Linked DNA regions of Macaca fascicularis. The protein of the gene in region 4 purifies or fractionates together with the protein of the main gene of each other region. This does not show direct contact. Links are inferred from orthologs where the notes say so. Each region holds a gene or a part of one and is shown on either strand. Other genes may lie near its edges. The genes, in order: SF3A1, CRNKL1, HNRNPR, HNRNPC, NCBP1, TOP1 and U2AF2.

What was found.
Region 1: the proteins of HNRNPC (region 4) and SF3A1 fractionate together in Homo sapiens (co-fractionation; 3 studies listed by BioGRID and IntAct, with this or other methods). This does not show direct contact. The link is inferred for Macaca fascicularis from reciprocal best matches to the Homo sapiens genes HNRNPC and SF3A1.
Region 2: the proteins of HNRNPC (region 4) and CRNKL1 purify together in Homo sapiens (co-immunoprecipitation; 3 studies listed by BioGRID and IntAct, with this or other methods). This does not show direct contact. The link is inferred for Macaca fascicularis from reciprocal best matches to the Homo sapiens genes HNRNPC and CRNKL1.
Region 3: the proteins of HNRNPC (region 4) and HNRNPR purify together in Homo sapiens (affinity purification with mass spectrometry; 3 studies listed by BioGRID and IntAct, with this or other methods). This does not show direct contact. The link is inferred for Macaca fascicularis from reciprocal best matches to the Homo sapiens genes HNRNPC and HNRNPR.
Region 5: the proteins of HNRNPC (region 4) and NCBP1 purify together in Homo sapiens (co-immunoprecipitation; 3 studies listed by BioGRID and IntAct, with this or other methods). This does not show direct contact. The link is inferred for Macaca fascicularis from reciprocal best matches to the Homo sapiens genes HNRNPC and NCBP1.
Region 6: the proteins of HNRNPC (region 4) and TOP1 purify together in Homo sapiens (affinity purification with mass spectrometry; 3 studies listed by BioGRID and IntAct, with this or other methods). This does not show direct contact. The link is inferred for Macaca fascicularis from reciprocal best matches to the Homo sapiens genes HNRNPC and TOP1.
Region 7: the proteins of HNRNPC (region 4) and U2AF2 fractionate together in Homo sapiens (co-fractionation; 3 studies listed by BioGRID, with this or other methods). This does not show direct contact. The link is inferred for Macaca fascicularis from reciprocal best matches to the Homo sapiens genes HNRNPC and U2AF2.

What each region holds. Positions count from the first base shown.
Region 1 is NC_088384.1:21,328,926-21,331,925, reverse strand, and holds part of SF3A1 (splicing factor 3A subunit 1), read right to left. Parts: coding exon 2,845-3,000; intron 1,951-2,844; coding exon 1,743-1,950; intron 1,234-1,742; coding exon 1,079-1,233; intron 1-1,078. UniProt on the Homo sapiens protein: Component of the 17S U2 SnRNP complex of the spliceosome, a large ribonucleoprotein complex that removes introns from transcribed pre-mRNAs.
Region 2 is NC_088384.1:67,252,798-67,257,152, forward strand, and holds the start of CRNKL1 (crooked neck-like protein 1), read left to right. Parts: upstream 1-1,388; 5' UTR 1,389-1,502; coding exon 1,503-1,553; intron 1,554-3,194; coding exon 3,195-3,347; intron 3,348-4,355. UniProt on the Homo sapiens protein: Involved in pre-mRNA splicing process. As a component of the minor spliceosome, involved in the splicing of U12-type introns in pre-mRNAs.
Region 3 is NC_088375.1:211,810,718-211,815,093, reverse strand, and holds the end of HNRNPR (heterogeneous nuclear ribonucleoprotein R), read right to left. Parts: intron 2,302-4,376; coding exon 2,180-2,301; intron 2,043-2,179; coding exon 1,430-2,042; 3' UTR 762-1,429; downstream 1-761. UniProt on the Homo sapiens protein: Component of ribonucleosomes, which are complexes of at least 20 other different heterogeneous nuclear ribonucleoproteins (hnRNP). hnRNP play an important role in processing of precursor mRNA in the nucleus.
Region 4 is NC_088381.1:88,872,637-88,876,533, reverse strand, and holds the end of HNRNPC (heterogeneous nuclear ribonucleoproteins C1/C2), read left to right. Parts: intron 1-862; coding exon 863-976; intron 977-1,217; coding exon 1,218-1,378; intron 1,379-1,477; coding exon 1,478-1,561; 3' UTR 1,562-3,376; downstream 3,377-3,897. UniProt on the Homo sapiens protein: Binds pre-mRNA and nucleates the assembly of 40S hnRNP particles. Interacts with poly-U tracts in the 3'-UTR or 5'-UTR of mRNA and modulates the stability and the level of translation of bound mRNA molecules. Single HNRNPC tetramers bind 230-240 nucleotides.
Region 5 is NC_088389.1:60,461,492-60,465,388, forward strand, and holds part of NCBP1 (nuclear cap-binding protein subunit 1), read right to left. Parts: intron 3,526-3,897; coding exon 3,423-3,525; intron 2,616-3,422; coding exon 2,522-2,615; intron 1,217-2,521; coding exon 1,113-1,216; intron 1-1,112. UniProt on the Homo sapiens protein: Component of the cap-binding complex (CBC), which binds cotranscriptionally to the 5'-cap of pre-mRNAs and is involved in various processes such as pre-mRNA splicing, translation regulation, nonsense-mediated mRNA decay, RNA-mediated gene silencing (RNAi) by microRNAs (miRNAs) and mRNA export.
Region 6 is NC_088384.1:97,136,308-97,140,647, reverse strand, and holds the start of TOP1 (DNA topoisomerase 1), read right to left. Parts: upstream 3,169-4,340; 5' UTR 2,924-3,168; coding exon 2,891-2,923; intron 2,561-2,890; coding exon 2,536-2,560; intron 1-2,535. UniProt on the Homo sapiens protein: Releases the supercoiling and torsional tension of DNA introduced during the DNA replication and transcription by transiently cleaving and rejoining one strand of the DNA duplex.
Region 7 is NC_088393.1:63,619,912-63,623,808, forward strand, and holds part of U2AF2 (splicing factor U2AF 65 kDa subunit), read left to right. Parts: intron 1-3,467; coding exon 3,468-3,751; intron 3,752-3,897. UniProt on the Homo sapiens protein: Plays a role in pre-mRNA splicing and 3'-end processing. By recruiting PRPF19 and the PRP19C/Prp19 complex/NTC/Nineteen complex to the RNA polymerase II C-terminal domain (CTD), and thereby pre-mRNA, may couple transcription to splicing.

The DNA.
Region 1 (3,000 bases), on a different chromosome or scaffold from region 4:
CTCCTGCTGAGTCTGGAGCTAAAGTGAAGAACTTTGGTGAAAATACTCTGCACATCCCAAGGGAAAAGAATATGACCTGCAGGGTCAGAAGACCTGGATTCCCAATTCAGCTTCCCAGCTAACAAGGTCTGTCTGAGCCTCAATGTCATTATCCATCAGAGAGGATTAATGACTGTTTTGAGTATTGAGTGGAAGTATCTGTAAAGTACTTAGCTCTTTCCTGGTACTTGAGTTAAGCATTTAAGAAATGGGAACTATTATTAAAAAACAAACAGGGTGGGCGCGGTGGCTCACGCCTGTAATCCCAGCACTTTGGGAGGCCAAGATGGCGGATCACTTATGGCCAGGTGACAAGCCTGGCCAACGTGGCAAAATCCCCTCTCTACTAAAATACTAAAAATACAAAAAGTAGCTGGGTGTGTGATGCACACCTGTAATCCCAGCTACTCAGGAGGCTGAGTTATAAGAATCACTTGAACCCGGGAGGCAGAGGTTGCGGGGGAAAAACAAACAAACAAACAATTTGGTCAAAGACATTGGGGGAGCAGAAGCTGGGGCTGTTTCTGTATCCTCACTGCAGCCTGACAGCTTCTCTAGGGACTGGCAGTGACAAGGTCCCCACCTCCCCTTATTGCAGGACCCCAACAGGATCCCACCCAACAGGCAGACCTCCTAAGGGCTAGAGCTGGGGAGGAAGGCCACAGTAAATTTTAAAACACCACACACAATTTCCTCCAGGGGTCTAGGGTCCCTCTCACACCTGAGTTGTGCTGTCCGTGCAGCTGGGTCTCCCTGTTGGCCTGTTAAGTCTACACCAGAGGGACCACCACAGTTACCACCTCTGCCACCACCACCATCACCACCACCACCATCACCATCACCACCAATGCTCTCTGCTCCTCTAATTTTTGACCCCACATTCACGGTGTGCTCAGAAGCCCTTAGATGCCTCCAGCGGCTGACCTACGCCCCAGAAGCCAAGACTGGGAGTAAAATAGGGTCAGTCTGGGAAGTGTACGACAGGGGCGAGGCTGAACCCTCCAGCTAGAAACTTGAGCAGCATTCTGGGATCACATACCTTGTTTCTGCGCAGGAACTCCTCCTCTGGCATGAGGCTGTCTTCTGTCTTCAGTTTTTTGGAGGTAGGCTCATCTTCCATGGGAGGTGGGGGATGAACAGGGGGCATTGGGGCTGGAGCTGGGACAGGTGCCACAGGTGGAGCAGGCACAAAGGCTGCAAAGATAAGAATAAGCAGCCCCATGAGAGGGCAGAATGGGCCCAGGACTCAGGGCTGATGAGAAGTTGAGAGAGGAGGTTGCAAAGGTTTCCTCTAGTCAGAGGTGTGAAGTGCTGTTCCCTGATGAGTCTGGCAGCCAGCAGGTTCCCCAGCAGGGGGACCTGGGAGGCTGCCCAGATTGGATAGCAGAGGACTGCAGGAGGGGCAGGACTGACGGATGGAGCTAGTGCCAGGCAACAAGCAACTCTCAGGCCTCTGAGCCTGTTAGGGACCTGATCCCTGAATGCAGACACCGGCTACATCATTTTAGCCTCCCATTTCTACCAGGAATGGTAGCTCCCAGCTCTAGGGTTGCGGATCTTTCACACAGGAAGCCAGGGCCTCTCCTCTGGGCTGGACACCCTGCTGGAACAGCTCGCACTAGCATCAGCCACAGCTCTGTTGACAGTACTTGGCCTGTGGTCCCTGACCTAATGGCCTGGAAAGTGATGCAAGAGATACTGACCTGTTGGCACAATCATAGGGGGTGGGCGGGGGGCCATGATAGGAGGGGCCGAGGGAGGCATGGGCACCACGTTGATTCTGGGCGCGTGGATGATGGGCGGCATGGGGGCGATCACTGAGCCTGGGGGCAGCCGAACCACAGATGCCATTGGGGGCCGGGGCATGACAGGTACTGCAGAGACAACTGTAGTACGAACTGGAGGTGGCATCTGTGCAGGAAAGAGACCCACAAGTTACAGGAAGCCAAAGTTGGACTCCAAGGGCACACACAGTTGGCAACTGGCCGCCTGCAGCTCTGAGGATGAAGGTTAGACAGCTCCGTCCTGGCCCCCTGGGACTGAGAAACTGTGGCCTCACACTGGGCGTCCAACAGGAACTGAGCTACTGAGAGCCTGAGAATGACATTCTCTCTGCTTGGGACTTGGCAGGTCAAATTCGACCAGCTACTTTGGCAATCACTGAAAGAGTCACTAAAGAGGCTGAGACCTTGGCTGGGCACAGTGGCTCATGCCTACAATCTCAGCAGTTTGGGAGGCTGAGGTGGGCGAATCACCGGAGGTCAGGAGTTCGAGACCAGTCTGATCAACATGGAGAAACCCTGTCTCTACTAAAAATACAAAATTAGCTGGGCGTGGTGACGCATGCCTGTAATCCCAGCTACTTGGGAGGCTGAGGCAGGAGAATCACTTGAACTCGGGAGACGGAGGTTGCGGTGAGCCGAGATCGTGCCACTGCACTCCAGCCTGGGCGACAAGAGCGAAGCTCTGTCTCAGAAAAAAAAAAAAAAAAAAAAAATAGGGAGAGGAGCTGAGACCTCGACTAAATCTCCTGGAGACAGGCCAGCAGTCCTCACAGACCCAATAAGCCCTGCAGCCCTTCTCTGACGCTAACTGGTTTCTCACATTTGCCTCTCACCTCCCTCCTTGTTCCAACCCTCCTCCACAAACAGATTAAGCTAGAGGTTCCCACTTGCATTTAAAGGGCTCTTTCTCTTTCAAACTGACCCACCCCACACTGTAAGGCAGTTGCCCGTCTCAGCCAACACTGTCCGACCTCAAGAACAAAGCTCTAAAAAGTCAGCTGCAGGGTAGATGCTGGCTTACTGTGGGTGGTCGGGGCACTGAAGTGATGGGTGGGGCCGAGCTGGGGATGTTGGTGGCTGAAGATGGTGGCGGTGGCTGTTGAGGGATTTCATTGGGCTTGCTGGGGCCAATCTTCTCTTTGGTGTCATCCTCTGGCACCAGGCCTTTGGCTTTGTG
Region 2 (4,355 bases), on a different chromosome or scaffold from region 4:
CAGTTACACATTTAAGGAAAATCATTTCAAAGAAACATCTTTTTAATATATTTTATTTTGTTAGGTGGCTTTATGAAAGTGATATAAAATCTTCTCTATTTAAATTTTGAAAAGTGAGATCAAATATCTAAATAATATGGTTAATAAAGAGTTATGGCAAAAATACTGATGTTGGTTATAACTGCAGTTCTAGAAATCTGCATCAATCTTTTTTTGAAAGCAATAGCTGCATTGGTAGACGTGATATTACTACATACACAATATATATTTTCCCCAAAAACCAAAAGAGCCTTGCAACTATGAAAATTATTCTAACAAATGTGCTGCCAAGTCGTGTCATTGTACATTTGTCCAAACTCATAGAATGTACAGCACCAAGAGTGAACCCCAACATGAACTACGAACTTTGAGTGATAATGATGTGTCAATGTAGGTTCATGATTGTAACAAATGTACCGCTCTGGTGGAGGATATTTTTGAGAGTTGGAGGCTGTTAAAGTGGGGAAGAGGTATAATAATTGATGGCAGGAAGCTGTTGAGGGGGGAAATCTCTGTGCCTTCCACTTAATTTTGTTGTGAACCTAAAACTTCTCTAAAAATTTGTCTATTAAAAAAATTCTTTTAACTTTTGCTTAATTTTTCCGTTTTTGAGGGCAGGTTAAGTATTATAATAGCTACATTTACTGAGCATTTGTCTTTAATCCTAGTGAAACAGATGGTATTACCCTTGTTTTATAGTTGAGGACACTGAGGCTAAGAAAATTTGAGTAATTAAGGCACACACAGAATTTAAACATATTTCTTATCACAAGACTGAGTTGTTTTCTAGTTACTCTATTTTTTACTTTCATTTTGTCCTAATATCTGGCTTCTAAGTACCTTCTGTTATTTTTAATTCCAAGCCTTAGAGTTAATTATTTGGGCACAACTGTCCAGAAACCAGAAACGAGGGGGCGTGGACCCAGAGACTACAAGACCTAGAATGCAATGCAGAGCCAGACAGCCTAAAAGGGCGGCAGCTCGCCCCTTCGCATACTGGGAATGGTAGTTTCCTCGCTCTCCCTTCGTTCCCCCGCCCCTCGAGCATCCAGATTGGAGCTTCGACCCTACTCCCTTGCAGGGCGCCACGGCTAGACAGAGCCTCTCTTCCTTGCCTGGTCATCCCAGTTCTGGAGGCTGACCTGGGGATACGCCCTTGACGCCCTGAATCGCAGTCCTCGCGTCGCTGCTAGTCAGGCCGGCGCTACCCACCTCACGCGCAGCTCCAGGACGCCGCACTCCGCGCGCTGCTGTAAGGAGGACGCGCAGCCTGGTCCCCATGGAAACGGTGCCACGTCCGTCACGGCGCATGCGAGAGGTCAAAGGTCAGCCTGGCGAGTTCCGCTTCCGATTCCGGGATCCTGTTTGTTGTCGGAAATCTTTGTGGTTTCGGTGAGCTCTCAGACCGCGGATTTCTAGCTTTCGTGCGGGGGACAGGTGCCCCGAGGTCCGCTGCTGCAGACATGGCGGCCTCCACCGCGGCCGGGAAACAGCGGATTCCCAAAGTGGCCAAGGTAGGCGATCGCGAGGGGCCTTGTGGGAGGTGGCCCAGGAGAGGGGCATCCCTCAGCCCTGGGGGTGCCCCGGGCGGGAGACAGTGTTCCCGCCGGGGAGAGGGCCCACCCTGAGAGATGGAGAGGAAGGGTCAGCTGGTGGTGGGGCGCGGGCTCTTGTCATCGCGGAGCACGATGGGGTGGTTTTGCAGGGAGGAGGAGTGGAGTGGTTCAGTGAAGATTTACTGACCCAGGCACTGCACTGGGCGCTGGGAAGCTACGCTCGGACGCTGGCCAGAAGCAGTACTCAAAACACGAGTGTGTGTATGAGGACGATCTTGCCAGATGTTACTGAGAGGCAAAGTAGAATATGCCATGGGCGTGAATAAGGGGGTCGTATGAAGGGTTCCTGAGAGTAAATTTTGCTGAGGAAATGACCTTTAAGCTGAGACTTGAAGACTGAATAGGAGTTAGCCCAGCTGACAGCGGAGGGTGAGAATAGACGGCAGTAGTAGTATAGTATCATAAGTTAATTAAACAGTAGATTTACTAACTGGTATTTCCCTCGATAGCTGATACTTACGAAGTGCTTAATATGTGTCAGAATTTGTCTGAAGCCTTTACAGATATCCTCCCTCCAGTCTTTCTTGAGCCCAGATGACTCTCTTGAACTGGACCTTTACGTAACTATTTGTCTGACTCGCAAAAGTAATGCATGTAGAGCAAGTAACAGTGTGTCTGGCACTTAGTGCTTATTAAATATGAGCTATCACCATTATCATTACTCCACACGTGGCATTAAATAACAATTTTTATAATTCAGCTACGTACACTTTTATTGGGCATCACCGGTCCAATGGAAATACAGTGCACAGCACATGAAATTTTAAATTTTCTCCTATCTACATTAAAAAGTAAAAGCAAAGCAAAAAAAGTGACATTAATTTTGATAATATATATTTTATTTGAACTAATGTATCCAAAATATTATAATTTCAACATGTAATCGGTATAAAAACTGTGAGATAGTTTGTTCTTTTTTTCATACTTCATCTTCAAAACCAGTGTGTATTTTACATTTACAGTCCACCTCAATTTGTGCTCACCACATGTGACTCATAGCTACTGTGTTGGACAGCACAGCTCTAAGCTACGTTAGACTGTAAACTTCTAAGACCTCAAGAAACTTACAGTCTAATGATGGGAACTTATTGAATAGTGCCTTTGACTTGAGGTTCCGTGAAAAACCATACCCACTTTTCCACCAGGGGCATTAAATAAGTTGAAGAATTCTGCGAATGCAGGTGGTAATGCTATTAATAAGATGTGCTACACATCTTGATAAACCCTCTGGTCAGAATTTTACCTACACAGCCTCAAAGTTTATTATTATACTCATCTAAAAGGGAAAACTTGGTATTATTTTTGCCACCTTTTTCTCTTGAGACTTTTACCTGTGGCTTTGTAGTAGATACCATGAATAAGAGAGAAAACATAGTATTTTTTTTTCTTTTTAGTCTCATGGAGGATGGGAACATGTCATACAAAGAGAGCATCTTGTGATAATACTAATGAAGTTCATATCCTAAAAAATGTATGTTTGTTTCTTAAACCTTGTGTGAAGAGCATCTACTAAAAATAGAAATGTCTTGTTCTTAAAAGGTGAAAAACAAAGCCCCGGCTGAGGTACAGATAACTGCTGAACAACTCTTAAGAGAGGCTAAAGAAAGAGAACTTGAGCTTCTTCCACCTCCACCTCAACAGAAGATCACAGATGAAGAAGAATTAAATGATTATAAACTAAGGAAAAGGAAGGTCAGTCAGTGTGGTATCTTTCAGTCCACTAATTGTTAAGAGTGTATCAGTCAGAGTTTGAAAAGCTGGTTGGATTCTGTAGGGCAAGATGAGGTTAGTGTTCCTAGACACATGAATAATGCCTTCTGGTTACCAGATAACAGCATTTTTCTGAACTATATAAAATATGCCTTGAGTTGTCTGGTTAAAGTATAAAACAATTGAATCTGCATAATTTTTGGTACTGAATCAAAAATGGGTGGAAGTTTAGCAGGTGAAACAACGGACAACTGGAAGGGGGTATGCTTAGTAAGGCTGGACTGTGTACTTCTGTCTATACCACCTTCTGTGTTAAGAAATGAGATCTGGCCGGGCACTGTGGCTCATGCCTGTAATCCCAGCACTTTGGGAGGCCAAGGTGGGCTGATCACCTGAGGTCAGGAGTTTGAGACCAGCCTGACCAAAATGGTGAAACCTCATCTTTACTAAAAATACAAAAATTAGCCGGGCGTGGTGGCAAGTGCCTGTAATCCTAGCTATTCAGGAGGCTGACATGAGAATCGTAGGAACTCAGGACGCAGAGTCTGCAGTGAGCCGAGATCATGCCACTGCACTCCGACCTGGGCGACAGAGCGAGACTTTGTCTCAAAGAAAAAAGAGAAGAAAGGAAAAGGAATTGAGATCTGCAAAAGGACTATGAGAAGACTTTGGGATCTGATTTGACCTCTTCACTCTAGAATGTGGGACTGTTTTAAAGCATGAATTCTGTTATATATGAAATTCTGAACGTTACCAGAGGACTTACGGGTAATAGTCAAAATATTTTTTATTAGGGACAAGCATAGACTATTTCAAAGTATCAGTTAGTTGATTGTAACCTTCTGTAGTGGATTTCTTATTCCTCAAGGATTCCAGGATGTAATTTCTCTTAAATATGAACAAAATGAATAACCAGTTTAGTACAAGACTTAAAATAGACCAAGGGTGCTGTCATTTTTAGTCATTTGCCCTTTGACTTGACCCTTTTTG
Region 3 (4,376 bases), on a different chromosome or scaffold from region 4:
TTTGTTCCTCTCATTCTCAAGCAAAAAAGTCATTAGAATAAATCAGAATTTCAAAAGGAAATAGGGAAATAGATGTTATGTCTTGGCCAACAAAAAATATAGGCATTAGGGATAGCAGATAAATAAAAATAAACGAGATGTTAACAGAAAGTCAGAGGTATTACTACTGGATATTTTTAAGCCTCTCTTACAAGGCATGAATGTTTCTCAAAGCAAATTTACATAGTAATAGGAAATTATATTCCTAAACCAGTAACTGAAATGGTAGTCACAATCACGTTTACTAAAACTAAAGTCCGCAGTGCAATTGACGCCACAGTACTAACAGTTTTCCCTGTATGTACATTCACTTATCCAGCAAATAAGGTCTTCAGTCACAAATTATCCCTTATAAAGAATGTGGGTCAAAATAGATTGCAGTCTGCTTTCCCAGCCACATTTTATTTGTTTTAACACAAATTATCCAATGCCTGCAAGAATGCTCAAAAGTCTATGAACCTGTTTTTTTTTTAAATAAAAGATAAAATTTCAAAATTAGAAGAGACTATGAGAGAACACCAATCAATGAAGTGCTAATTGGAATAAATACTTGAATTTAGACTAATCCTCAGTCTAATATCCACAATACATGTTGGAATAGACAAGAAATTTTGCATGAATTTGATCACTCACATAGGCAGTTATACTTTGAAAACAATATTCCTTGCAAGGATTACGAATAAAATAATGTTTTAGGACACAATTGAATTTGAAATAGGTAATGTTTTGAATAGATTTTTTAGTTTTATTGAAATCTTACATGAACAAGAAATTGGAAATACAATCACATCAAAGAACAAATTGTCACGGCTTTTGACGTTTAAGCCAAACAAATTTTGTAGGGCAGATTTCAAAAAGGTGTGAAGTTATAACAATTTAAAAACACAGTTAACCTACTTCTAGGAATGCAAAACATACAATCATAGGTTATTTTCAATACAAGAAAACTTAAATTTGTTTGCTTTAATTTCTTAAAACTACTAAGACAAAGCACTAGCTTGTATTTTTATTTACAGCATACTCCATACTCCTATGTAATCTATCCCAAATCCAAAAAAATGAAACTGTCCAAAACCAAAGGTTCTGCAAAATCATGATTTAACAGTGTGCCCAGCTTGTTTTGAAGCTAAAATGAAGCCTGAAACCATAAAAGCATTGTAATCCCCAGAATAAGGGAACTCTGCAAGCCCAATAATGTCCAAGAGCATTTATGAAAAGAGGAAAAATAAAAAGACTTGAGTATATACACAATAGTGATTTCTTCAGCCCAATACAAATGGCAGCAAAATGCTACTTAAAGATGAAACAGTTAAGCCAATTTTTTTTTTTGAAGAATGTAGATCTAGAGCCAATCGTATCTTGCCAGTATCATTTTCAAGCCCTTACTTGTCTACTTCCACTGTTGCCCATAAGTATCCTGATAAAATTCCTGGTTGTCATTATTGTAACCATAGTTACCAGAATAGTCACCACCTTGCTGAAGCGGCTGCTGAGCGATGGGTTGGGAACCCCAGTTCTGTTGGTTGTTGGTCTGACGACGCTTGGAATCAGGTTGGTTGTACCCATCTGCCTTTCTCTTGCCTCCTACATTGCCCCCACGATTGCCCCGAGATCCACGGGAACCACGGCCTCTCTGCTGTTGAGCAGGACCCCCTCTGCCACCCCTAGAGCCTCTTGGTGGTCCCAAAGGTGCCCCCCTCTGTGAATAGCCAGCTCTACCTCTTGGAGGTGGTGCTCCCCTCCCCCTTGGTGGTGGTGGAGCACCTCGCCCTCCCCTTCCTCCTCCTCTTCCTCTTACTGCATAGCCATCATCATAGCCGTAGTAGGGATCTTCATAGCCTCCACGATAGTCGTGATAATCATAACCATAGTAATCATCATAGTAATCTTCATAGCCATAGTAATCTGGAGGGTAGCCATATCCACCTCTCCCCCCACCACGACCCCGACCTCTAATTGGAGGTGGCATTCGAGGAGGAGGGTGGTAGTAATAATCTTCATACCTAGCAAAGGAGGGAAGGGAGAAAAGAAAAAACAAATCAGTTTGCTTCAAGACTCTGATTGTGTTTTATTAATCCAATCTCCATTATCAAATGGAGATTCCTTGTCCAAAGACATATCTACTAAAAGGTAGACTCACGCAGTGCTTCTGGAGGCCTGTCTAGCAGCTTGGCGCTCTTTCCTTTTCTTGTCTGGTGGCTTGGCTAAGACTATTTCAATTTCTTCCCCTTCTATTTCTTTGCCATTCATTTCATCCATAGCCTATAAAAAATTGAAAAATTAATTTATTTTATGATATAAAACTATATGTTTTATATAGTGTGCATGCTATCATACTTGACTCATTTAATATACTTAATAATTTACTGCACAATTATTTTAAATGGCCAAAAGGTGAATCTAGCCAGAAAGTTAAACACAAACACAAAGAAAATACGTTTCCCTAGACCTTATCTTTTTATATGTAAATGACATTTAGAACAAAACCTACCTCCTGATACTGTATTTTAAAAGGTAAAAGGGCTGCCACCTATTGCTGCTCCTTAATTCCAAATAACTAACTCCTTAAAAGATAAGCCATACCTAAGAAGCAAATCCACACCAAAGAAGCAAATCCATACCAGGGAAAAATGCCAATATTAATACGAACCAAAGATTAACTTTTCAGGATTAGAATTTTTAAATAAACATGTAGCATACAACATACAGGTCTTACACTGTTCTTATACAAAAATTTCAAGGATCTGAAGCACAAATGAGGTTACAGAGTGAGATTATCTGTAAAATTCAAGATACCAACACAAAAAAACCTAGGTTTCCCTCACAATGCTTAACTCGAAATGTATTTTGCTTGAACAGTTTAAAGTACAGAGCCAGAAAAGGCCTGGACTAATGAAGACTCAAGCAATTACGTAGAAAGCAGTAATCAAACATTCCATGTTCTAGCCCTTTGTTCATGTTGTTCCACCCAACAACCTCTGCCATACATCAAAAGGTTCAGGTACTCAGTAACAAAATGTCACCTCCTCATATTTTATTTTTTGTTTCCCTATACCTTTCTCCCCACTCTGGGCACACATAAAAAAATGTTCTATTTATAACGAGCTATTAGTGATTTATAAGTATCTAGACAAAAATGAAACTAGTCCTCAAGATTGCAATTTTCCCTGTACTGCTTCAGTAAAAGCAACTAAACAAGTTTACAAAAGCTTCCTGGCATAAATTAAAAAATGAAACATCTACTCTCTGCCCCGACCATCCTGGTGACTCCCAGTTCCTGGACTAGATATTTTATAATTTAATAGGCTTCCTTGGCAAACCATCCTATAAATATTTTCCATCAGGACAACCAGTTATTTAAAACCAGTTGAGTCAGGAGGAATATTTGGAAAGCATAAAATTATTAGTTATCTGCATTCTATACCAGTAAAAATTTCAGACGCCACACATTAACAGATAAGAGTGTAACAGTATAACAGATAAGATTCCATACTTCAAAGCCAGATTATTACTGAGTTTGTGATCTTGGACAAGTTATGAATTTTATGAACAATACTGCCTCATTAATTAGCTATCATCAATGAGCAAGCCGATTAACTATAAACGAGTCAGAGATTCTAGAAAGCCTGTTTTAAAAGCAGCACCCTGGGCAAAAAACAAAACCAAAAAATGCTCAAATTAGAGGCGGTAGTATCCCACCAACCAAACATGCCAAAAAAGAACCATGCCTGTGTCACTAAGCATTCTGGATCTATCTTCCCAGTAACATAAAAAAGATTTTAGTAGTGTTTTGTCTTGCTTCCCATCCCCTCAAGGAAGGAGAGATGAACAAGAAAAAGAAACTGAAAATTTCACCCATTAAAGATAGTCCGAACCCACTGTCAATAGAAAGCAGGTTTTGTGTTCCAAATACCATATGAAAATACTTTCTTCATACTTATTATCATCAAAGACTAAATCAACTATTATACACAAGAGTTATCTCTAACAATTACTGAAATCAGTAAAACATAGTGAATGCTATTTTAACTCTAAAATGATTAAATAAAGGTAAAACTAATCATACCCTCATCACAATACATCTACTCAAATACTGTATGAGTCATGTACACCACTCAGTTTCCTTCATAGGTACACAAACTGAGGTAAACTAAGTAGTTATAATATATTCATTACCTATTTAGTGTTTACAGCAGCTAATTTTTATACCTTGTAATACTTCCAAGGCATCATGCTATCAAATCTTACAAAACAATAGAGATTAAAAATAACTTGCCTAAGATCACAAATTCAGTAATAATCTGGCTTTGAAATATGGAGTCTTATCTGTTATACTA
Region 4 (3,897 bases):
GCCCAGCAGGCGGATCACCTGAGGTCGGGAGTTCGAGACCAGCCTGTCCAACATGGAGGAACCCCATCTCTACTGAAAATACAAAAAATTAGCCAGGGATGGTGGTGCATGCATGTTATCCTAGCTAATTGGGAGGCTGAGGCAGGAGAATCGCTTTTACCTAGGAGGCAGAGGTTGCAGTGAGCCGAGATTGTGCCATTGCATTCCAGCCTGGGTGATAAGAGCGAACTCCATCTCAAGAAAAATAATTTTAAAAATCCAAAATAATGGAGGAGACGAGATTGTGACTGAGTGGCCAATTCTAGACTGCAACAGCTAGGTGATTTGAAAGATGTCATTTGACTTTATTTAGTTGAGGTGTGTGTTAAGTTTCTGAGGGTTTTTTTGTGGGTTATTTAAAAACTAAAATTCAGATAGTGTTCAATATATTGATTTTTAAACTTTTCTGTATTGAACTCCTGTAACTGGAAATATGGAAGGCAGTAAAACAACAGAAGGTCTGATGCAGTGACTTACGCCTGTAGCCCCAGATGCTTAGGGGGAGGCTAAGACCCTGGGGATCTAGGCTGTGGTGGGAGGATTGCATGAGGCCAGGAGTTCACTGTGATCATACCTGTGAATAGTCACTGCACTCAGAACTGGGCAATGTAGCGATAACCCAAGTCTAAAAGATACTAAAAAAAAAAAAATTACAGTAAGTAGTTATAAGCTTTATAGTAGAACCAAGGGCCTTTATTACAGGGAAATCTGTACTGGCTCTGTTTCTCCCTGGGTGCTCCTGATGTAGTCTAGTGCCAGTGTATTTGCTAACTCATATCTTCTGTACATTTGATTTTAATCCATTATTTTGTTTATGTTAAAGTGAAAGGAGATGACCTTCAGGCCATTAAGAAGGAGTTGACCCAGATAAAACAAAAAGTGGATTCTCTCCTGGAAAACCTGGAAAAAATTGAAAAGGAACAGAGCAAACAAGCAGGTAAATGGGTTTTCTGCTTGTTGGGTATATAGTTGGGTTAGTTACGTAAGGCACTTTAAAGTATATGTTGGAATAGTGGAATATAAAGCAATGTAATATGAAACTTGGGGAGTGTGAATTGGGAAGGGTATTTGTGTGGGAGGATTTAGATTTGTGCTGCAGTTCTGTGATCCTTAGTGGGGATTGTCTACATCCTGTGGACATTACTGCCCCTAGACAGACTTGTCCTTCTCATCCCCAGTAGAGATGAAGAACGATAAGTCAGAAGAGGAGCAGAGCAGCAGCTCCGTGAAGAAAGATGAGACTAATGTGAAGATGGAGTCTGAGGGGGGTGCAGATGACTCTGCTGAGGAGGGGGACCTACTGGATGATGATGATAATGAAGATCGGGGGGATGACCAGGTGAAAACCACGGGAAAGGAAAGAAAAAGGTGGTGGAGGGGGGCTCAGGGACACATGGAGTGCCTCTAACTCCATCCTATTTGTGTCTGTTTCTCACAGCTGGAGTTGATCAAGGATGATGAAAAAGAGGCTGAGGAAGGAGAGGATGACAGAGACAGCGCCAATGGCGAGGATGACTCTTAAGCACATAGTGGGGTTTAGAAATCTTATCCCATTATTTCTTTACCTAGGCGCTTGTCTAAGATCAAATTTTTCACCAGATCCTCTCCCCTAGTATCTTCAGCACATGCTCACTGTTCTCCCCATCCTTGTCCTTCCCATGTTCATTAATTCATATTGCCCCGCGCCTAGTCCCATTTTCACTTCCTTTGACGCTCCTAGTAGTTTTGTTAAGTCTTACCCTGTAATTTTTGCTTTTAATTTTGATACCTCTTTATGACTTAACAATAAAAAGGATGTATGGTTTTTATCAACTGTCTCCAAAATAATCTCTTGTTATGCAGGGAGTACAGTTCTTTTCATTCATACATAAGTTCAGTAGTTGCTTCCCTAACTGCAAAGGCAATCTCATTTAGTTGAGTAGCTTCTGAAAGCAGCTTTGAGTTAGAAGTATGTGTGTTACACCCCCACATTAGTGTGCTGTGTGGGGCAGTTCAACACAAATGTAACAATGTATTTTTGTGAATGAGAGTTGGCATGTCAAATGCATCCTCTAGAAAAATAATTAGTGTTATAGTCTTAAGATTTGTTTTCTAAAGTTGATACTGTGGGTTATTTTTGTGAACAGCCTGATGTTTGGGACCTTTTTTCCTCAAAATAAACAAGTCCTTATTAAACCAGGAATTTGGAGAAAAAAAACCCTGGTTTTTTATTTTTGTATTTTATTATTGTTTACTTCAAACTTTGTTTTACAGCGTCCTCCACAAAACCTCTAGAATGTACTAGATACATTTTTCTTGGAGTCATAATCATGATACATACCAACACAACACTACTCAAATTATATTTCATTGAGTTGCATGTTGCATTGAGGAGTCAAATAACTTGACATACAGTGGCGATTGTTTTTCAAAATGGCTTTTACATCCTAATGAAAGTTCAGTGCTTTGTGGTCCAACTGGCACCCTTTTTGAGGTTTTTGTTGTGTGCTAAATTGCTTTGTCCTTAAATAGGAGAGACTCAAAAACAAGATTTCAGGAAAATTGCAACAGCTGGACAATGGAACTCCCTGCTTTCTTCTGTTTTGTTCTTTTAATTACTATTTATAGCCTCAGTTACCTTCTGAATTCTGAAGTGTATATCTCCATGTTACTGAAAACGAGAAAACTCTTATTTCCTGATACTCCACAGTCTTGCCTTCCCAGGTGATTGAGAACATAAAGAATGTTACATTTATTTTACCCTAAATGATCTTTTACCCCTATTAGCTGATCTTTGTGTTTTCCCTCAACTTTATTAATTACAGTTATTGTATTTTTAGCATCCAGTCTTACTTAAAATGAATATATTAAACAGCTACCAGTGTTGTGATACCTCATCCTTGAAAGGCTTAATTGATTTGTGTTTTAAACTTCAGTTTTTCCAGCACAGCAGAAAATGGCGTTTATAATTTTTGTGCACACAAACCTTGGATTCCCCTATAAAGTTGCTATTGTTTCATAGCATGCAGCACTGGCCTTTTTTCATCCTACTCATTACAGGCGAAACTCATGTCTTATTTATAAGGATTTTATAGATCATTTTCTATATCAGGTGACAAAAGCAGAAAAGAATGAAGAGGCTGAACTATGAACTACCCTTGGAGCCCATATACATGATATAGGCAATTTCTTTTGTATGTTAATTCAGTCAAAAATACTACCCACTTGATGTTTTCTGATCTGATGTGAGCTCATGTTACATAGACTTTTAGTAAGTAACCCATGACTAGAAAATAAACTGGATGCTTAGGAGAGAGTGTCAGATGTATAAGATGCTAATAAAACATGTTTAATATTATGTTGTTAGCTGTAAGTTTTTGGGAAATACTGGAAAAATTAGTCCACAATCAAGTGTCTACTTTTCACTTCACTGTAGGGCCTCTTTCCCCGCACAGAGCAGTCTATTTAGCTGTGAATACCACAATCTGCAGATGCTCAAGTCCCTTACATAAAATGGCATAGTATTTGTATGTAACCTATGCATATTCTCCTGTATACTTTAAATCATCTCTACATTAAAATACCTGATAAAATGTAAATGGTATGTAAATAGTTGTAACTACTTTTATTTGTATTGTTACTTTTTAATTTTTTTTTCTTTACTAGTATTTTCGATCTATAGTTGGCTGAATCTGCATGTGTAAAACCCACGAACACGGAGGGCCAACTATACATTTAATTCTGTAGGAAAGCAGATATTGAATGAAGCTGTGGAAAGCACTTAATATTAGGTTGGTGCAAAAGTAATTGTGCCTTTTGCCATTACTTTTAATTAGCCGCAGTTACTTTTGCAGATAGCTGTAGAGCATGATCACACAT
Region 5 (3,897 bases), on a different chromosome or scaffold from region 4:
GGTGTTAAAAGAACAGATGGAGCTGCTGAGCACTACACAGATTCCAGAATGCCTGGTTTGAATGCTGGCTCTGTGTTTAGTTGTGTGACTTTGGGCAGGCTAAAGCACTCTGTGACACTTCCCTATTCTGTAAAATGTGGACAATAATGGAACCTCCTCTATGGTGATGCGGTAAGGATAAAATGAACTGAAAATGTAAATCACTCAGGACAACGGTTAACACATACTCGGGTGGTTAGTTTTCTGGAGTTTACAAATCTGAAAATGTCCTTCTGTTGTCTTTATTTGTGAAGGCCAACCTGGCTGGTATGACAACCTTAGATCATACCTTATCACCCTAACAATTCAGTATATTTCAGATCAGTGTCCTCTGGCAATAACAGATACAGTGGAAAAGTTAAAGGTTGTGATGGATTTTTATGTTTTTACAAGTAATTTGCTTTAGTTTCCTGCTTTGTGTCAACTCCTGCTGTCCTGGTCCTATCAACTGTAAAGTCTGTGAACTTCACAAATAAGAACCAAACAGCAAAAACTCTTTCCTTTAGGGGGAATGAGTGCAGAATGAGTCTTCTGCATTAAACCTAAGATTATGACTGTGGTGACAACCCCTTTTCCCCCATCCCTCAGGCGTCTTGGTAATCACCAAGCCTTCCCAGATACCTCCATGATTTAATCTACTTTGACTTTGGTTTCTCCTACTTCCTGGTGTGCATTCCAGGTGCCATCCCCACAGAAGCTGGAACACTTCCTGATTTCCATCTGGACTAGCTGAGACTCTGCACATAGCTGGCTCTTGCTAGTTTTCTCTCCCAACAGTCTGGATCCTTCAACAGGACTTCTACTTCACTAGCTTAGTCTTGATTCAACTTAAGAGAGTCCCTGCTAAGAGATGCTGCAACTTAAGAGAGTCCCTGCTAAGAGCCCCTGCTAAGAGATGCAGGCTGTGTATGTTTCCACTGTCTAGGAATTTTTGCCATGTCCAATCCGACCAGACTGGATCACAGTATATTAATATCAACCTGGTTTGGACCAGAATTTGAAGCTTATGTATAAGAGACCACACATATATCAATTCTTAGAGAACACAAGTTTCATAAAATAATTCATATTACCTGGTAAAGTCACGAGACAGTTCTGAAGAGAAGATCCAATTTGCTACTGCAGCACAATCAACTATTTGTGTACGAATCATCTTATCCACTAGTACAGCAATCATCTACAATGAGAGAAGAATTATTCAAGTAAATCACACACACACATACACACGTATATGTGCCACGACACTGCTACCATAAAAGTAAAATAGGAGGGCTAGGGCTATAAAATCTAGTTTTGATGGCTGTAGAACTGATTGATCAATTTGACCATTAGGTCTTTTTTTTTTGGAGACAGAGTCTTGTTCTGTCACCCAGGCTGGAGTGGAGGGGCACGATCTCGGCTCACTGCAACCTCCACCTCCTAGGTTCAAGCAATTCTCCTGCCTCAACCTCCTGAGTAGCTGAGATTACAGGTGTGCACCACCATGCCCGGCTAATTTTTGTTATTTTAGTATAGACAGGGTTTCACTCTGTGGCCTAGGCTGGTCTCAAACACCTGGCTTCAAGTGATCCACTCACCTCAGCTTCCCAAAGCACTGGGATTACCGGTAAGAGCCACCGCGCCCTGCCTGATCATTAGATCTTAAGATTTATTCTTCCCTTTGCTTTGCTCTAGCACTACAAGAAACAGGTTGACTAAACAAAAACTCTGAATGGTAACAGTTAAAATTTGAAAAAACTGGCCAGGCATGGTGGCTCACACCTGTAATCCAGCACTTTGGGAGGCCGAGGCGGGTAGATCACCTGAGGTCAGGAGTTCAAGACCAGCCTGGCCAACACGGTGAAACCCCATCTCTACTAAAAATACAAAAATTAGCCAGATGTGGTGGTGGATGCCTGTAATCCCAGCTACTCGGGAGGCTGAGGCAGGGCAATCACTTGAACCCGGGAGGCAGAGGTTGCAGTGAGCCAAGATCACACCACTGTACTCCAGCCTGGGTGACAGAGTGAGACTCTGTCTCCAAAAAAAAAAAAAAATTTAAATTTCAGTTACTAATACCTATTCAAAAAAATATATAATTTCGAGGAACCTCAGAAGTTAAATGTAAAACAATGTTTTATCATTAAAAACTCAACTGTTTTATGAAATTTATTTAAATGTTTCTTTGTAATACACAATATATATCAAGGTTTGAGAAATCTGGAGCTTGTATTTAGAAATTGGATAGACTAGATAAACTTCTTGCTGAACATTTAAAATATGTTGAGATATTATAGTTCAAAACCAAATCACAATAATGCTTGCTCTTTCAAGAATGAATCAAACATCATTACTCCCATAGCACTGAAAGAATTAGATCTAAAAACCATTATCTAGGCAGAGTCAAATTTCATGTTTTACAAACAAAACAGTAGTAATTAACGGCCTTATTTTTATACCTATATAATCAGAGCTTCAACATGTCTAATTAAATAATTTTTACCTGTGGATGGTTCCTCCAGACCTCAAACATAACTCTTAGCACATGTAACTTCCCTTCATCACTTTCAGCTAGGGTTTTGAAGACTTCATGAAACCTTTTGATAATGGTGGGAAAAAAATATCATATATACTTATTCGTTAAACATTTCAGTGTTTTCAAAGCCTTTTCAATGTTACTCAATTTATAATGCAATATGCAAATGCAAAATAACTGTAAGTATTAACCATTAAGGATGCAAAAAGTGTGATTAGAGATTCATAGTTTTTAAGGAAGCTGTCACAAAATCTCAAGACATTTACAATATACTACCGTTAGCCCAGGGCTACAGTTTATAAGAATAGGTAAGGACTAAGGAACTGTCTTCAAACATGGTGGAATATTCAAACTGCATCTTCTGTGGGAACCCTGCAAGTAACATAAAGCCTTGGAGGCAGAGATGGGGTGAGATGTTCAGTTTCTCTGCTTGGTTGGAGGAAAATCTATGTGCTCTTTCTTCCTTTGGACCCTGTCTAACAAGTTAAAAATATCTGTCTTTAGATGTCAACCTTTGGGTGGCTCCCAACAATGTAGCTGATTCTAATTTCTTCTTACATTGCTTGGCAAAGATACTTAGCGTGGGAACTTCCAACTGCATATGACTGTCCTAAAAATCTAGGTTTTTCACTACTTTAAATGTCTATATGAAAAAAAGCGCTTACCATGTACATATGCCAACTGTACAAACAGACTGATGGAAGCCTTAGGATACAGATTTTAGCTACCACAAACCCAAACCCACTGTATCCAATTATACATTATTAAGATCTTCATATTCAACAATCTTAGGTAAAAATTACTATACCACTGGTGTTCATGAAGCAAAGTTCCAAACCCTCAAGAAAGGCTCTGTACTCATACATACTTTGCAAGAGCACTGAAGGAGTGGCTGAATGATTTGGCTGCCAAGTGTAGCAGAGTCTGTACAAAGACTTCTATTTTCAATGGGTTAAAACTGAATCCTTCATCTGAAAAATATTTTATAATAAAATAGAAAAATGTAAGTACAGCAATCCCTTGGTGCCTTACCTCAAATGCTAAATAGATGGTACGCTCACATCTATACACAGATATTTGTGTAATGTTTTTTAGTTCTAATAAACAATAAAAGACCGTCACTGATTTCAAATACTGCAAATATGAAACCACATGTAATTTTAATTCTTAGTTTTATGTGACTGTCTTAATTCTATCATCCATTCCTTGAAAAAAGAAAAATCACACAGGTTTCCTTATTCATAGTCTCTATTATATTAATACCAAAAAACCCCCCAAAAAACAAAAAAACCCAGCAAACCCTTAACACTTAAGCTTTTATCTTAAGATGTCTGACAATGTCT
Region 6 (4,340 bases), on a different chromosome or scaffold from region 4:
ATAGTTACTAACACCACATCTTCCAGACAATATTCACAAAGAATAATTACACCAGTGTCAGACCTTTATGGTGGCAGGGAGACAGTCAAAGCGCTTTTTCTTTTGAAGAAGCATGTTTAGATAAAAAGCAAATGACAAATTATCAAATCCTTCCTTCCCTCTCTCCTTTTTCAGCTCTGTAAGAAAACAGAGATTTGCGGCTTTTTATTTTTTCATGCTAGTATCATACAGTATCACTTCAGCATAGTGGCTCAGCTCATGGGATTTAGAGTGGTCAACTCACGGCCCTTGGGCAAGCTAGTAAATACACTGAAGCCTGAGTTCCCTCATCTACAAAATAGAAATAATAGGACCTAACTCACGATGGTCCTTCCAAGGATTACATCTAATTAGATGACCCATGGAAAGAGCTGAGATTCACGCCTGGCAGTAAGTATTCAATAAATAATAGCTATTATTGCTATTAAATGTGAGCCAACACTTCTAAAAGTCAACATAGGCAGATTACTTCAGCCTCTATAAATATGTCAGTAAAGATCAATAACCTAACCAGCTCACAATCATTCACGTGACTTAGGTGAGAACCATGTAAGTTAACTTTCTCACAAGAAGAAAGGGCTAAACTTTGTTTCATTACTTACATTACCTACTCAGCCCAGCCTGACAGCCAAAAGAATACATTCTATATTAAGATCCCACCTTCCTCTAGCGAAGTCAAAAGGACTTCTTACAGCCTCACCTGCACATCCTTTCTTTGCCCCTGTATCCCAAAGAAACACGTCTATACTGTGGTTTTCTAAACTGCAGGCCTCACCTCCTCCCTCTTTTAAAATCGTGATAGGTTGGTTAAATGTACTTAAGAAACACTCCAACCCGACAATTCTCTGCGTCCAGTCTTCCACAACCCTCAGCTCAGAAGTCACCTCTGAGAAATTTCCCCATCTTCAGATAAAATTAAGTCCCCTATACTTCAAAGCATTTTGGGTACACATATGCCCCAGTAATTACCTTATAATTAACTAATAATGTCTCCCCCAATAGACTGAATTGAGAGCAAAGGAGTGTTGTGGTTACAGGATCAGCTCTACACTAAGCACAGTGGTTGGCACATAACTGGTGCTCAAGAAATGCCATACTTTAAACCAGATTCTCTCCTGCTGGATGCCCCACTTCAAACTCTGAACATAAGGTTGCTCTCAGTAGAGCAGGCTAACATGATGGACTGCTGATTACAACACTAGAAAACCTACTCATCAGCTTCTCCCATTGGAGAGGTTCCCGGAACCCAGACTCAATTGAGCAGGATTATGCACCATCAAAATCAGTGGGAATTCCCAGCACACTACAGAAGGTACCTTCTCCTTCAACAGGGTTGTTTGAAAGCCTGCAAGGATGAGTTTTTTATTGGAGGAATCTTCCCTGGGTAACTGAAGTGGAAATACACAAAGAATAAATGCCTTGATTTGACTGAAAAGGGTTCAAAAACATAAAGAATTGGAAAAAACAAGCTAGTTCTTGATTCCTGAAAAACAGTGGCTCGTGAAAAAGAATGAACAGGAAGCAGGGGTGGGTGCTGGACACTCTTTGTTTCAATAAATAAAATCCTTTTTTCCTCCCTACAGCCCAAACGAAAAGGCCACCACACCAGGTCCACAAGAGATGCTCAACAATCTTTCCTTCCAACAAGTACAAACTAAACTGCGTTTCCAAAAAAACACTGCATTGGGAACCTCAGCCACAATGAAAAGTTCCAGTCACTAACAGTTTAATTTTTTAAAAATCCAACATTTACATTGGGTGACCCACAGAGAACTTGCAAACTTTCTTTAGTGAGGTACTGCTACCTTTGCAAAGAACGTAACTTGGGAAAAAACAACCTGGAAACGTAAAGAACTCCACAAACGGTGACTTTAGTTTTAGAGCCATAATTCCTATCATAAACATCCTATTGAAAAAAAAAAATTAACAGTTGCCTAAGGAAATCTTTCATTCTGGAAGCAAAAAAGGAAACAAACATGAAGCAGAAAGGGAATAACCCCCAAAATAAAGTTTAAAAAATAATAATTCAGTCCCCCATCCTTCCCTCTCTGGTGAAGTATGTGATTTATATAGCTTTGCTCTGCAGAAATCTCGTTCTGGGCAGCTCAAGGAAGGAGCCGAGGGAGGGAGAGAAAGAGACACAGGCACAGAAAGGAGAGGAGAGAGAAAAAGAAAATGGCGCAGAGACTAAGTCCCGACCGTCGACAAGGCGACTTTCCCGGGAGGAATCCCGGCCCGGAAAGACCGCCCGAGGCCGGGTGGCGGACGACACCGGGTCTCCGTTGCCCCCTCTTGGGAGGGCCGGGATCTGGGGGAGCTGGGGTCCCCGGAAAGGGGGTCAAGAGGCGGCCCGATGGGAACAATGGGGCCGGTGAGCGAGGAGCCGGGACTTAGTCTCTGGGACGCCATGTCTGTCCTCTGCCCGGCACCGGCAGGGCGCGGGGGAGGCGGCCGGCGGCTGGGGGGCCCCGGGGTCGGGGCAGGGGGCACACTCACCATTCAATCGGAAATCCGCTTCGATCTGGAAAAAGAAAAGGAGAGAATATCAAACAACAGCCACTTTAACCCCTCTGGCGGCGAGCGCGCGCGGCTGGGGGTCTGGCCCACCCTGCGCCCCCAGGGAGGACGGGGTCCCGGGGGTAGCCACGGAGGGCAACCATCCCCCCTCGCACTGTAACTTCGCGGCCCTTGTTCGCGGCCTAGCGAGCCGATCTACTCCGGCGGGCGGCACCTCGCCGGGGGCCCCGGCCTGTCAAAGCGGCCGGGCCGGGGCTGGGGTAGGGGCCTGCGCCGGGGGTCGCGGGACGGCCAGGCTGGGGTCCAGGGCTGCCGGGGTCAGGCCGGGCCGTACCTGGGAATCGTTGTGGAGGTGGTCCCCACTCATGTCGGCCCGGAGCGACGAGCGCGGCGGCAGGCTAGGCGGCGTGGGGGAGACGCAGACGGCGAACCGGCCTGTGCGGGCGGACGGGGACCCCGGAGCCTCGAGGAGGCGCAGGTAAGCGGCGGTGACTGTGGGCCCGAGACTCCAGAAACGGCTGAGGCTGCTACCACGGCGGCGACGCTGCCTGACTGCCGGGCGGGCGGCGAGAACAGACCCCACCAGTTGTGTAACAGCCTAAGTTCGCATTTGGGCTCACTGCGCCTGCGCGGTCGCTTTTAAACAACACGTCGACGACGTCAGCGATCGCGGAAAGAGGCCGAGGGTTGCGGCCCGCCCCCTCACGGTTCGCCTGACGGACCCGGCTTCGCATCGCAAGCCCCGCCTCCGGACCGTGCGCGCGCCGCTGTGATTTGCATAAGGAGCCGACTCCTCCCACGGCGTCCCACCCCAAGCAGCCTCCCCTTCCTCTCTCGACGCCTTTTCTCGGAACCCCGACCCCTCTGCTAGGCAGTGCGCAGGCGCCACCCGGGCACCGCCTCCGGGCCAGGGCTGGCCGCGCAGCCACGTGGTGGGCCTTTAAAGGCCGCGGCGGGACCCAGGCGATCTTGGGCGAGCTGGTGTCCCGCGTTCCCATCTATTTGGAGCAGCGAGTACCTTGGCAGCTGGGACCCCAGAGGTCTCCCCGGCGCCTCCTTTCTTGCTAAGCCGGCCCTGAGGCTGCCTGGTGGGAGGAGTCCCCTCCCCAGCCTTTGTCCAAGCCCTCCAACTTCTGGAGTATTTCACGCCCACTTGTTAAAAATTATTTTAATTTTTCAACCAACCAAGGGTCCGGTTTAGCCCCAGTTTTCCGCCGAGTACATGTAGCCCTGGGTCACCAAGGGTCTGATTTCTTTGGTTCATTCTACAAATACTTACTAAGCATCTGCTATGAGCCCAGGAATTGTGCTGAGGGGAGGAGGAATGCAAGAGACCAAAGGGAACTGAACCTGTCTCTATCCGCGGCTGTATCCCTAGCATGCTGGGAGGACGGAGCAAATGGGGAATAGAACTACCTTTTATAGAGCATCTATTCTGTGACCAGCTCTGAATTCTGAACAATAGCTCTGTGAGGTCGCCTGTTTTACAAAAGGCAAACTGTCTTAAAGACAAGGCACCAACAACCACCTACCTTGCATCTATAGTTGGATGCCTCTCAAGCTTCTCTGGGGATGAACTCAACTCTACTTAGCTAGAAAAAGCCCCATCCTGACACCTTCCTTTCCCTCATTTCCCACCAGTCCCGCTGATTACTTCTCTTCACTCCATCTACTTCTCTCTGCCGCCCATAAGCCTTTGAAGTCCGCGTTCTCTTGCTTGGATTAATACAATACGCTGGCCGGGGGTCGTGTCTCACACTTGTAATCTTAGCACTTTGGGAGGC
Region 7 (3,897 bases), on a different chromosome or scaffold from region 4:
GTTGCCCAGGCTGGAGTGCAGTGGCACCATCTCGTCTCAGTGCAAGCTCCGCCTCCAGGGTTCAAGCAATTCTCCTGCCTCAGCCTCCCGAGCAGCTGGGATTACAGGCACCTGCCACCATGCTCGGCTAATTTTTGTACTCTTAGTAGAGGTGGGTTTTCACCATGTTGATCAGGTTGGTCTCGAACGCCTGACTTCAGGTGATCCACTCACCTCAGCCTCCCAAAGTGTTGGTATTACAGGCAGGAGCCGCGGCGCTCAGCCCAGTGCTTTTCCACCATGACTTTTGGTAAATTCAGCTAACCTTTTAGAGCCTGTGATGTATGTTGACATGCTCCAATCTGAATGGACTTTTTACATATGGGTGCGTTTCCCCGATCAAGCTACAGAATCTCTTCCCCACATCTCTTCCTGGTGACTCCACTGTGTTTTCGTTCATTTTAAATCCTGTGAGTGGCCCGCCACTTGCTGGTGCTTACTGTGTGTCGGGCACCGTCCTAAGTGCACTCCACGGATGACATTCCTACGATACAGGGATGGCAAGTTACGATTGAGAGGCCAACTTTGACCCACTGCCTGTTTGTTTGTTTGTTTTGAGACGGAGTCTTGCTCTGTTGCCCTGGCGGGAATGCAGTGGTGCGATCTCAGCTCACTGCAACCTCCGCCTTCCAGGTTCAAGCGATTCTCCTGCCTCAGCCTCCCGAGTAGCTGGGATTATAGGCATGTACCACCATGCCTGCTAATTTTTTGTGTTTTTAGTAGAGACGGGGTTTCACCATGTTGGCCAGGCTGGTCTTGAACTCCTGACTTTGTGATCCACCCGCCTCAGCCTCCCAAAGTGTTGGGATTACAGGCGTGAGCCACTGCGCCCGGCCACTGCCTGTTTTTTTGTAAGTAAAGATTGGTTGCGGCACAGCTAGCCTCGTCGTGCAGTGCCTGCTTCCGGGGTAGGGACGTGGTGGGCCTTGGGGAATAGGAACGGTGGGTTATGGATCTAAGGTTGTTTCTCTTACCGGGCTGAGGGGCTTGACTCTTCTGAAGGTGATGGGGTGCTCTGGCAGGGGCTGAGCTGAGGGCGACCCAGTGATAGCAGTGGCTGCCGAGCTCCTTTCAGGCGTCCCCTGGGCCGAGATGGCCTGGTCACCATGGGAGGGGACATTCCTCCATCTTACAGATGAGAAAGAGCTTTAGGACAGTGGGAATCCCTGCTGGGTCTTCCCCATACCATCTTTGCTCCAGGTGTGATGCTTGATAGATGCAGCCGCTGAAGAGGTATGGGGCCCTGTTTCCCCGCCCGACTCTTGCAACATCCTTGCCAAGTAGGGCTCGTCCTCCTCAGTGATGAGTGTAGGAACTTGAGGCTCCGAGAAGATTCCTTTGAAGTAGTTGTCATGTAACAGCGGCTGACCCCACTGACAGTGCTCACAGTGTGTGTCTGGGCTGGGCTAGCCCTGTTGTGGGCATTGAGTCTCACAGATGCCCGGGCCACGGTGACGGCCATGCCTGTTTTCACGTCCTCTATTGAATCAGCACTTGGCCCGAGCTGTTCTCACACACGTGGCTCGCACGACAGACGCCAGTATTCTTCCCATTCTACAGATGAAGACACTGAGGCCCTTGGAGCCTCATACGGTACAAACATGACTTGAACTCAAGGAGCCATGTACCCAGAGAGCCCAACTCTTGCACCCTTGGCCCTGTGTTGCTCAAGTGAGACGTGTAGAGCCCGGGCTCGAGGCCGAGCTTCCAGTGTGACCCAGGCACAGCCTGCAGCCTGCCGTGCTGCCTGTGGAGAGTCACAGCTGAGTGTGGGCTCTGGAGGCTGTCTTTGTCCTGCCTCTGTGGCTGTGCTCTGTGCCTCAGTTACTGCCTTCTGTGCTGTAACAGCATTGCAGTAGGAGACTTGAAAGTCTGACAGGATGCCTGGCCCTTGGGGTGAGTGCTTGGTGTGTGTTCCTGCTCCCGGGCTGCTGCTACTTGTCGCTGTAGCATAGGAGACCGGTCTCCTGGGGTCTTCGGGGCCCCAGTCTGGTGTTTGGAGCCGGCTGGGTTGGTGCTTCCAGTTCTCTGGTGGCGGCGTCATCATGGGCTGAAGGGGCTTGAGCAGGTAGGAGAGGGTGCGTGGGGGCGTCTCCCTCTTCCCATGGGCACAGCGGCTCAGCTTCTGAGGGTCCTTCCCATGTCTTGTCTTACCTGTTCCTTTCCAGCATCAGGATGGAGGTGGGATGGGGCCACTCACACCTGGTGTGGGGGCTGCAGAGGAAGGGGAGGCCACATGGCCTAGGCTTTGAACTTGGGAGTCAGGCTGGTTGGTTACCGGGTCCTGGCATAGCTGGTATCTGACAGGACGGCGTCAGGATACATTGGCAGAGCCTGTGAATCATCCCACCAGCAGGCACTTGTCTGTGAGTCCAGAGTTCAGCGGCTAGGGCAGGATCAAGGGCCAATCAATTCAGCTGATAAGCCCCCACCCTGGTATGTCAGCCCTCGAAGACATTGGATCCTGCATCCCACAGTCAGCCCCGAGTTCCCAGTGAGATCAGAGCGGCTAATGCTGCGGATGCTGCTCTGAGACTTGCTGAGCAGCCTCAGCTCCTCATTGTGCCTTGCCACCCGTGAGGGCAGGGGCGCCCCTGCAGTGGCACCTGAGCAGCCTCGGCTCCTCGTCGTGTCATGCCACCCATGAGGGCAGGGGCGCCCCTGCAGTGGCACCTGTTGTTCTGGCAGGGTGTGAAGGGAGGAACTGAGCTTTTTTTTTTTTTGAGACGGAGTCTTGCTCTGTTGCCCAGGCTGGAGTGCAGTGGAGTGATCTCAGCTCACTGCAGCCTCCGCCTCCTGGGTTCAAGCGATTCTCCTGCCTCAGCCTCCCGAGTAGCTGGGATTACAGGGTCCCACCACTACGCCCAGGTAATTTTTGTGTTTCTAGTAGAGATGGGGTTTCACCATGTTGGCCAGGATGGTCTTATCTCTTGACCTTGTGATCCACCCGCCTTGGCCTCCCAGAGTGCTGAGATTATAGGCGTGAGCCCCCCATGCCCGGCCGGGGATAAGCTTTAATGGGAGCCTTGCCTGGGTGGCTGTCAGAGAAGGGGTGGAGTGTGTTGGGACTCAGCAGTAGGTCCCGAGCCCAGGTGAGCTGCCAGCATTCCACAGCAGCAGGTGGCAGATGTGGGTGTGAACTTTGTGCCTTCGGAGCGTTCTGGAGGATGTTCTAGTTTGAGGTTCCCTTGAGGCTGGGCAGATTTGGGAGACAAGGTGCGTTCTCCCCAGGGAGCCTCTGTGCCACTGCCCAGGACCCTCCCTCGTCAAATCAGGCTGGGGTGGGATGGGCATGTGGCGGCCCCTCCCTCGTCAGATCAGGCAGGAAGTGTTCTTTTTGGCGATGGAGGAGCTTGCCATAGGCTGTCCAGGTGTTTGAGAAGATAACCTGGTACTGGAATTGAAGTTCTTCTCTCCTCTGCCCATAGGGGTTGTGTCCACTGTGGTCCCTGACTCTGCCCACAAGCTGTTCATCGGGGGCTTACCCAACTACCTGAACGATGACCAGGTAACCTCCGTGCCTCCCTCCAGTCCCGTGCCCCCCCGGCCCCATCTCAGCCCAGCCCTGATAGACTCTCGGCCGCTGCAGGTCAAAGAGCTGCTGACATCCTTTGGGCCCCTCAAGGCCTTCAACCTGGTCAAGGACAGTGCCACGGGGCTCTCCAAGGGCTACGCCTTCTGTGAGTACGTGGACATCAACGTCACGGATCAGGTGAGTCCCTGGCCCCTGGCCGCTGCCGCGTCTGTCCTTCCCTGCCTTGCGTCTGTTGCCAAGCCGTGGTGTCCCCTCCTCGGGACGGGGCGGGAGGCGGCCAACCTGAGGCAGTGCCCTGCGTGTGGGCTTGTCCTTGTCCCGTG